Linked DNA regions of Macaca fascicularis. The protein of the gene in region 1 purifies or fractionates together with the protein of each later gene. This does not show direct contact. Links are inferred from orthologs where the notes say so. Each region holds a gene or a part of one and is shown in the gene's direction. Other genes may lie near its edges.

Region 1 (4,285 bases):
CCAGCCTGACCAACATGGTGAAACCCCGTCTCTACTAAAAATACAAAAATCTAGCTGGGCATGGTGGCAGGCGCCTGTAATCCCAGCTACTCAGGAGGCTGAGGCAGGAGAACCGCTTGAATCCGGGAGGCAGAGGTTGCAGTGAGTGGAGATAGCGCCACTGCACTCCAGCCTGGGAGACAGAGTGAGACTCCATCGTCTCAAAAACAAAAACAAAACAAAAAACAAAAACAAAACAAAACAAAATGCTCTGGGGAAAATGGGTCTCTGAGCTGCAGCAAGAGAAATGTGAGTTAGATCTAAGAAAGTACATAATTACCTCTTTTTTTTTTTAGACGAAGTCTTACTCTGTCGCCCAGGCTGGAGTGCAGTGGCGCGATCTCGGCTCACTGCAACCTGCGCCTCCCGGGTTCAAGCGATTCTCCTGCCCCAGGTAGCTGGGACTACAGGCATCCGCTACCACGCCCGGCTAATTTTTGTAATTTTTTAGTAGAGACAGTGTTTCACCATATTGGCCAGGCTGGTCTCGAACTCCTGATCTCGTGATCCGCCCGCCCCGGCTTCCCTAAGTGCTGGGATTACAGGCGTGAACCATCGCGCCTGGCCAGCGTAACCTCTTGAAGTTCCCTTTCAATTTGATTCCTTGGTGGAGGAGACCTTTAGGCTCCGCCCACCTACCGCCACCTGGCGCTACCCACCAAACACCTGATGGGGGCTGACGTCCAAGCCCAGTCTCCAAACACTCTGTTCAAGCTTGGGTAGGAAGAGGGAGCCTCTGGGATTCTCTGGGCTGGGCCCTGAAGGCAGGAGTGGACGAGAAATGGGTACGGTCTAGGCTCAGCTTCCTGGCGACGCAGTGCTTTCTGTGAAGGAGGGACTCATTTCTACATTGACAGTCTTATCCCTTGATACCAGAAGTCGCAGGGAAAAAAATGCTTTTTGGTAATTACAATTAGCGACATTTGGTTGTTACCACTGCTAAATATGTCTGTCTTTGCTGAGGGGCCAATCTCAGCTCGGATCCGGATGAGTGGACAGGAGAAATAAATCTCTGCAAACACAGCGAGGAGCCTGGGTGAGAGGAAGAACTCCCAGGGACCGACAGCCACCTCTTGGGGACTCACAGCGCTGCGGAGGCGAGTCCAGCATTCCAGCCAGCCGCGCGCGGAAGTCTGTTCCCAGATGCGCCAACGCCAGGTCTCTCCAGCGGGCTGGCCTTTTCAGCAGCAGCAGCAGAGGCAGGAAAGCGGCCGGACAAATCCCACCCCCGGCTCCGCCCGTCACATCCATCTTGCTCCCGAGACGACCCTTTCCCAGAGAAGCGAGGGGCGGGGAGGGGAAATCTAAGCCTTTGGGTGTTGCCGACAGGTGTTTGGGGGAGAAGGCGGAGCTGGGGTAGGGAGGATGAGGAGGGAGGGGCGGTGCTGCCCCTTTAAGAGGCGGTGGCCGAGCCGGGACCTTTTTCTCTTTCCCCGGAAGGAAAGCGCAGCCCGGGCTGGGCTCGCAAGGTGGTGAGGTGCGGGACTGGGCGTGGAGAGGCGGGGCGCGCCCCGCAGGACCCCTCCCTCCTGTCCTCCTTGCGGTCGACCGGTGCGCTTGCCAGATCCGCCGCGAAGCCGGGATCGAAGGCAACAGCGCGGCCAAGGGGGCGCGGCCGGGACAAGCTGGGGGCCGGTTGCCCGGGGCAGGGACGGCGGCGACCCGGCCGCTGGGGAGACGGGAAGATAGACCCACGGATCTTAAGAGGGGATCCGAGAGCGCAGCTGTGAAATTGGCCGAGGCTGGGGGCACGAAACCGATCAGCACTACGGAGCGCAGCGGCCGGCGGGTTTCAGTGTCCTCCGGCGGCGCGGGGAGCAGGTGAACAGGTCCTCACGCCCAGCTCCGCGCTCTCACGCGCTCTCGCCCGGACCCCGCTCCCGCTCGCAGCCATGGGCCCTGGCCCCAGCCGCGCGCCCCGCGCCCCACGCCTGATGCTTTGCGCGTTGATGGTGGCAGCCGGCGGCTGCGTAGTCTCCGCCTTCAACCTGGATACCCGATTCCTGGTAGTGAAAGAGGCCGGGAACCCGGGCAGCCTCTTCGGCTACTCGGTCGCCCTCCATCGGCAGACAGAGCGGCAGCAGCGCTACCTGTAAGTGAAGCTGGAGGCTGTGGGGTGGGAGCGAGAGTGTGCGTGCGGGGGATGCGGGTCCGGAGCGGAGTCGGAGTCCGGGGCAGCTGGCCCTTGGGAGCCAGGATTAAGGGGCGGGTACCCAGGCGGCCCACTGGCTGCTGGGGGTTGGCGGGAAGTGGAGGATTGGGTGTGAGGTCGGGCAGTAATCATTGGCAAGTGCTGACGGGGCCAGAACCTGTCTGGACGCCACCCCTCCGCCCTTTAGATCTCTCCTGAGAGCGGAAGTGGGGTCCCGGTGACTGAGTCCTCTCCCATTATGTGAACCGAGTACCCAGCACTAGCCTCTTCTCTCCAGGGCTGGGAGCTGGGGTAAACTGCAAGATAAACACCCAGCGGACCCCCCTTCCCCTACGCTTGGGAGAAAAATGAGCATATGCATTTAAGCACCTCGCTGGTAGTCTGCGGCCACGCCAGCCACACCCTCTGCAGAGCCAGACTGGATGGCCTTCTCAACCGCTGGCTTGGCGGATGGAGGGTGAGGTGATGGGTGAGTCTGGGCGTTTGGAGCTGTCCATACGCTCCCTTTGACGCCTTGAGGATAGCGGCAGTGGAAGAGAGAGGAGGACTTGTCCGAGCTCTGGCTGCGTCTCCTCCTGCCCACCCCCAAGCAGTGGCACTCTCCCCACAGACATCCTCCCTGCATTCCACGGATTCGTGTTGGATCTTCAACCCTGAGTGTGTTTGTTTTGGTTTGAAGAGGGAAACAGTGTTTTTCTCTTTCTTCTGTTCTCCTTCCCCAACAGCTGCAAGGAGGAGGGGAAGAGCTATGCATAGGGGAGGAAGGAGGAGGAGGTTGCACCCAGCCGCCTGGGTCCCCCTCACTCCACCAGACACACTCATGCCCAGTAGCATGTCCAGGATTCAGAGGTCTCTCTGCTGTGGCCTCAGAGCATGCCGAGGTTGGTGGCTGGGGAGGTGAAGCTGTCCAAAGAGGGATGGTGGTTAGGACAGGTTAAGCAGGTACCATCCACCTCTTTGGGCTGGGTGATCTGCCCCCTCCTAGCCTCTGCCCCCACCTGGCCTCTGACCCCACTGAACAAGAAGATGTAGTCACATTCAGGGTACACTGAAATCTCTCCCTGCTCCGGTTGGGGCCTGCAGAGATTGAGGAAGTTTAGAATGTCCAAAGTCCAAACTCTGACCCTGCCTTGGTTCTGCCCTCCCGACCTAGCCTGCCTACCTGGACTTAACCTCAACTCCATCTTGCTCTTGCAAAAGCTAGGGCTACCACACCCTTCCCTGCCTGGCCCCAGCAGCTGCCACCTGGCCTTAGCCAACCCTCTATCTTTTGGAGATCCTGAGCCACCAGGAGCACACGTTTCTACATCAGCACTCTTTCTGCCCTAACCAAGAAAAAGATTTTCAGACTTTCAATGCCAAATCTGCATGATATAAGATAACATAGGTAAAGAGATCAGACTGGAAAGAAAGAGTCAATAATGATTCCTCAACCCCTCCCCCTTTTGCCTGGTGACCTTGAGCAAGGTCCCCTCCCTGGGCCAGGTTTCCCCCAAAAGGGGTTGGACCTGGATCTAGTGCTCTTTCCCACTGCTGCTGGCCTGTGAGAGTCAACTTGATATGGTAGAGGGAGAAGAGGCTTGGAGGTCCCATGGCCAGTGTCCTGTCTCAGATCTGTTACCAATACCTGAACCTGAATTTCCTTACGTGTTGGAGGGAGGGGAATAGCATGCCTTCTTTTGGGATGTTAGTGGGGCTGTAACTAGATAAAGTGTGTAAAATCCTCTGCACATGTGCCTTTCTCCAAGGAGCACCTGAAGGCTCTTGCGCTGAGGCCAGAACCTGGATGCATCCTCATTACCCATGAGCCCCCTCCAAGGTGGCTGAGCAAAGGGGTTCTACTTTTCTCTCTGGGAAACTGGAGCTGGCATTCAGCCTGCCAGGAGCCCAGAAGGTTCTAAAGCTAATGAACCTCTGAGGGGCAGGAGTTCTCTCCCTTGAGTATCCTCAGTCTTTCCTAAGGGTGGTTCTGTATCTTGGCCTTTCTTGTCATCTCACTGAATTCAACCCCTTGGCCATTCAACCCCTCGGCCATTTGGGAGAGCCAGCTGGGCTTAGCTGCAGCCAGCTGTGTAGCCAGATGCAAACAGCTGC
Region 2 (4,123 bases), on another chromosome or scaffold:
AATGTTTTTTAATCAATGAGACAAGTCTAATGATAATAAACAGGAAAATAACAGCAATGTGCTAACAGTGGCTGTTTCTGATGAGCAGAATTTTGAGTTCTGTTACTTTTACTTCTTGGTATTTCGGTTGTTTCTGTAATGACTATATCTTGCTTTTGCAATAATAAAGGACGCTAAAGGAAACTTCATTTTGAAAATAATACAAAGGGATTCTGGAACTTCAAAGGACGGGGACTCTCCTCGTCCACTCCGGAGAATCAGGAAAGGAGTGTTTAAAGACCCGCAGAATTCCTACAAGTGACGTGGGGAGGGCCAGCCAGCCAGCGCGCATGCCGGCCAGAGAGCGAGGTGGGCTCTGGGTCCGGGAGATGTCAGATCAGTGCTCTGCACAGGGCCTGGAAGGCAGGACGAGGCATTTCGACTTAGGTCCTTGAATCTGGAGAGCTACAGAAAGTTTGTGAGCTGAAGAGAAGCGCTCCGAGCTTGGCATCTGGAGCAGTCCAAGGCAGCAGCGAACACGTCCAAAGACGCAGGAGGGAGGGTGGGGGAGTAGAGAGAAAACAGAAGCCGTTTACAAACCCTTTTCCCCTTTAGGGCAACTAAACCTCAAGTGCAGGAAGCGCTTGGGGACTGCCCAGCCCTCAGCTATGTTATCATTCGGTGATAGGTACTTGCTAATGACTTCCAAAAGCCTCCCATCTGTCATCCCACCCAGACTGCGCGCTTCTAATTCCTCCTACCCCACATGCTGTGCCCAATGAAAAGTATGGCCAGCGAGCGAAGGCTTGCAAGGAGGCAGCCGAGGGCGAAATGAAGCCAGGCGGCTTCCCTTTAAATCCTCGCAAAGCAGAAGGGCCCCTCATTCCGGGACCAGGCCTTGGACAAGGGGCCTTTAGCCCGGACGACCCGGGGAGAGTCTCCCAAAGTAAAGAGCCGGGTCGGGCGCCCAGACCAAACCGGGGGAACCGGAAGGGCGAGGCCGCCACAGAAGTCCGCGGTAAAAGTGGCAGGGAGTGGCTGCCTGGAAAGACCCCAAGACGGCTGGAAGGGGGGGGGGTGGCGGGTGGGGGTTAGGGCGACTAGGCGGGGAAACAGGGAGAGGGTCGGGCTCCGACGGGCAGCTGGGGCCGAGACACGCCGGACCTGGGCGGGGGCAGGGGGCGGGGTGCGGCCCGGGCGGGGCCGACGGGGCGGGGCCGAAGGGGCGGGAGGCGTGGCCGGCGGGGGAGTGGGGGGCGGCTTTTCCCGGCACATGCGCACCGCAGCGGGTCGCGCGCCCTAAGGAGTGGCACTTTTTAAAAGTGCAGCCGGAGACCAGCCCACAGCCGCCTGTATCTGTGTCCAGCCCGGGTACCGCCTGTCCCAGCTGCGCTCGCCCCTCAGTCCCGCACCCGTTCGACCCAGGCTAGGTTAGCCCTCACCATGCCGGTCAAAGGAGGCACCAAGTGCATCAAATACCTGCTGTTCGGATTTAACTTCATCTTCTGGGTGAGTGAGCGCGACTGCCGCACGCTCCACTCAGGGGCCACCTGTTCGCGGACCCCGGACACTGGCCGCGGGTGCTGGCAGCTGGCACTGCCCGCACCGGGCAGGCACCGGGCGGGAAGAGAGGGGGCCCTGCGGCTGCCAGCTGGCTCCAAGGCCGGGTCCAGAGCCGGGCGGGACGGCCGCGACGGGCGCATTCGGGTGGGGGCTCACCACCGCCCAGCGGGCGTGGGGAGCCGGGCCCTCCTGGGATGGGGCGTGCGGGCGGGTCCTGAGCCCTTTCCCTCGCCTAGGATTTGAGCTGGGCTGTGTGTCTGCTCCCAGCCCAAGCCCCTCCAAGTGCCAGAGGGGAAGGCAGGGAGAAGCGGAGCACCCCTCTTTGGGCCAGGGCCAAGGAGGACTGTGGTGAGCAGTGCGGCTCGTGACTGGGTGGGGTCTCCCAGGTAGTAGGGGGCGCGAGGAAGGGAGGGTGCGGGCACGGCGAGAGCTCAGCCAAGAGCTGCTCTCACTTTTACACAGGAGCGGAAGGGGTGCCTTGGCTGCGGGTCCGGCCCCGGCACCCAGTCCCTGAGAGTCGGGGGCTCCTCCACCCTTGAGGAGGAACCTCGCAGGTCCCGGTTCCCTCAGACTTTGATTCTGAACCACCGTGAGAGCGCCAAACTCCCTGGCAGCTACTGAAAGACTAGCTTGTCTTGATTTCTTTCAAGGCTGATAAGTATCTTCACTGGAGAGAACTCTGGGAGCTGGGGAGAGGAGAGGAGAGGGCAGATACCTATCTGCGCCTCTAGTGGGATGAGTCCTGTGTGTGCATTTCCGGGAGAGATCAGGTGCCAGCCAGCTGCCCGCCCAGGACAGCCTTGGCCTTGCCCCCTCCCCTCCCCGCCAGCCCAGGCGGCCCACCCAAGGCCAGGCAGGGCGCAGAGCGGACGTTCATCCGGAGAGGCCAACGAGGCCAGGAGCTCCAGGGACACCCACTGCAGGCCACTCAGCCTCTACAAATGGGAAGACAGAGAGGTGACAGAAGCAAGGAATAGGAAACCTTTGTGTCCTTGTTTCTGTAGCCACATTCCCTACACACGCATGACAATACTTGCCCCTCTGCAGGCAGTAAGATAGTCTGTGTGCCACTCTCAAGATGGATGTAGAAACAGGTGCATGCCACCAGAGTCTTGTAACAGAAAAAGTGCACTTGGCCAGGCACAGTGGCTCATGCCTGTAATCCCAGCACTTTGGGAGGCTGAGGCAGGAGGATTGCTTTCATCCAGGTTCAAGACCAGCCTGAGTAACATAGTGCATTAGACCCCATCTCTACAAAAAATAAACAATTAGCTGGGCGTGTTGGCATGCACCTGTGGTCCCAGCTACTCAGGAGGCTGAGATGAGAGGATCACTTGAACCTGGGAAGTCAAGGCTACAGTGAGTCATGATTGCACCACTATACTTAGCCTGGGTGACACAGTGAGCCCGGTCTCAAAAAGAAAAAAAAAGAAAGTGTACTTATTCCCCTGGTCACTGAGGTCCCCACAAGCCTCCTTAGGGAAATCTCCTAAGATTTACTCCTCCCCAGAGCTGAAGGGGTGGTCGAACAGATTTTCCAGTTTGTAGAGATTGACCTCCCCTAGTGCATCAGTCACCATAACACACGCCCTAGTGAGGACAACATGTAGGTGTGCTCCTGCCCAACCCTTGACTTGCTTTAAGAAGACCCTGCCGGCCGTGGGCACCCCTCTCCTCCTGTGTTGCTACCCACCCCAGCAACCAGCCAGCTGCCACGCTTAGCTTCTTCCTTTCACCAATCCCTGGCAGCAGAAAAGTATGTGGGAAGGCAGCTGGCCTCACCCACCCTTGACCTTTGGGAGTTTTCCTCTCCCCTCCCAGGTACAGTCTCTCCCTGCCTGTGTTGGTTCGTCCCCAGCTGTCTGCCTAGACTGCATCCAGGTTTGGGACTGCAGGGAAACACAGACGGCCACCGTGTGCCTCCCTACCCCCATCTGCCCCATGGCATATGCAGGAAGCTGATGCGAGGCTCCCACGGCCAGTAGTATCTACTCTGTCTGTGGCCTGCTGGCCTGCAATCTGTCCGTACTGTCCTCAGCCTGCCACCCCCCTCGTATTCAGAGCCCCCTACCCCTGGCCCCGGCCTAGGTGCAGCTGATGAGCTATGTAGTCTGAAACAGAAATCACTCGCACTGGAAATGTTTGGAATGACTTGAAGATCGTACATTCCAGCCCTCTTATCCATAGTGAGGCAGCAGAGGAAGAGAGATGGGGTGATTTACCCAGGATCACAGAGCCAGAGCCAGTATTACAACTCCTGGGGCCCTTACTTCTGTCCTCTTCCATCTTCATCAGAAGCAGGAAGGTGGGCAGTAGCTATGCTTTCCTGAATTACTGCTCATTTGTCTGGTATCTGGGTCCCTATGGAGACGAAGCCCTCATCCCTAGGAGATGATGTAATGAAAAGGAAGACTGTGGTCGGTCCACTTGTGCAGAGTCTTAGTCTTTAGAGCCTTTCTTGTTCTAGCCCCATGATGTAGCCAAGAGCAGGACGCATTGTCCCCACTATACTGACGATCAGGAAACTATTTCCCAGGGAGGTTAGGTGACTTATCCAAGATGACGGGGCAGGGTGGTCTCA

Evidence for each region. Proteins that work in one complex are often made in the same cells at the same time.
Region 2: the proteins of ITGA3 (region 1) and CD9 purify together in Homo sapiens (affinity purification with western blotting; 3 studies listed by BioGRID and IntAct, with this or other methods). This does not show direct contact. The link is inferred for Macaca fascicularis from reciprocal best matches to the Homo sapiens genes ITGA3 and CD9.

The regions. Positions count from the first base shown.
Region 1 is NC_088390.1:56,658,202-56,662,486, reverse strand, and holds the start of ITGA3 (integrin alpha-3), read left to right. Parts: upstream 1-1,485; 5' UTR 1,486-1,931; coding exon 1,932-2,131; intron 2,132-4,285.
Region 2 is NC_088385.1:7,101,182-7,105,304, forward strand, and holds the start of CD9 (CD9 antigen), read left to right. Parts: upstream 1-1,323; 5' UTR 1,324-1,422; coding exon 1,423-1,488; intron 1,489-4,123. UniProt on the Homo sapiens protein: Integral membrane protein associated with integrins, which regulates different processes, such as sperm-egg fusion, platelet activation and aggregation, and cell adhesion.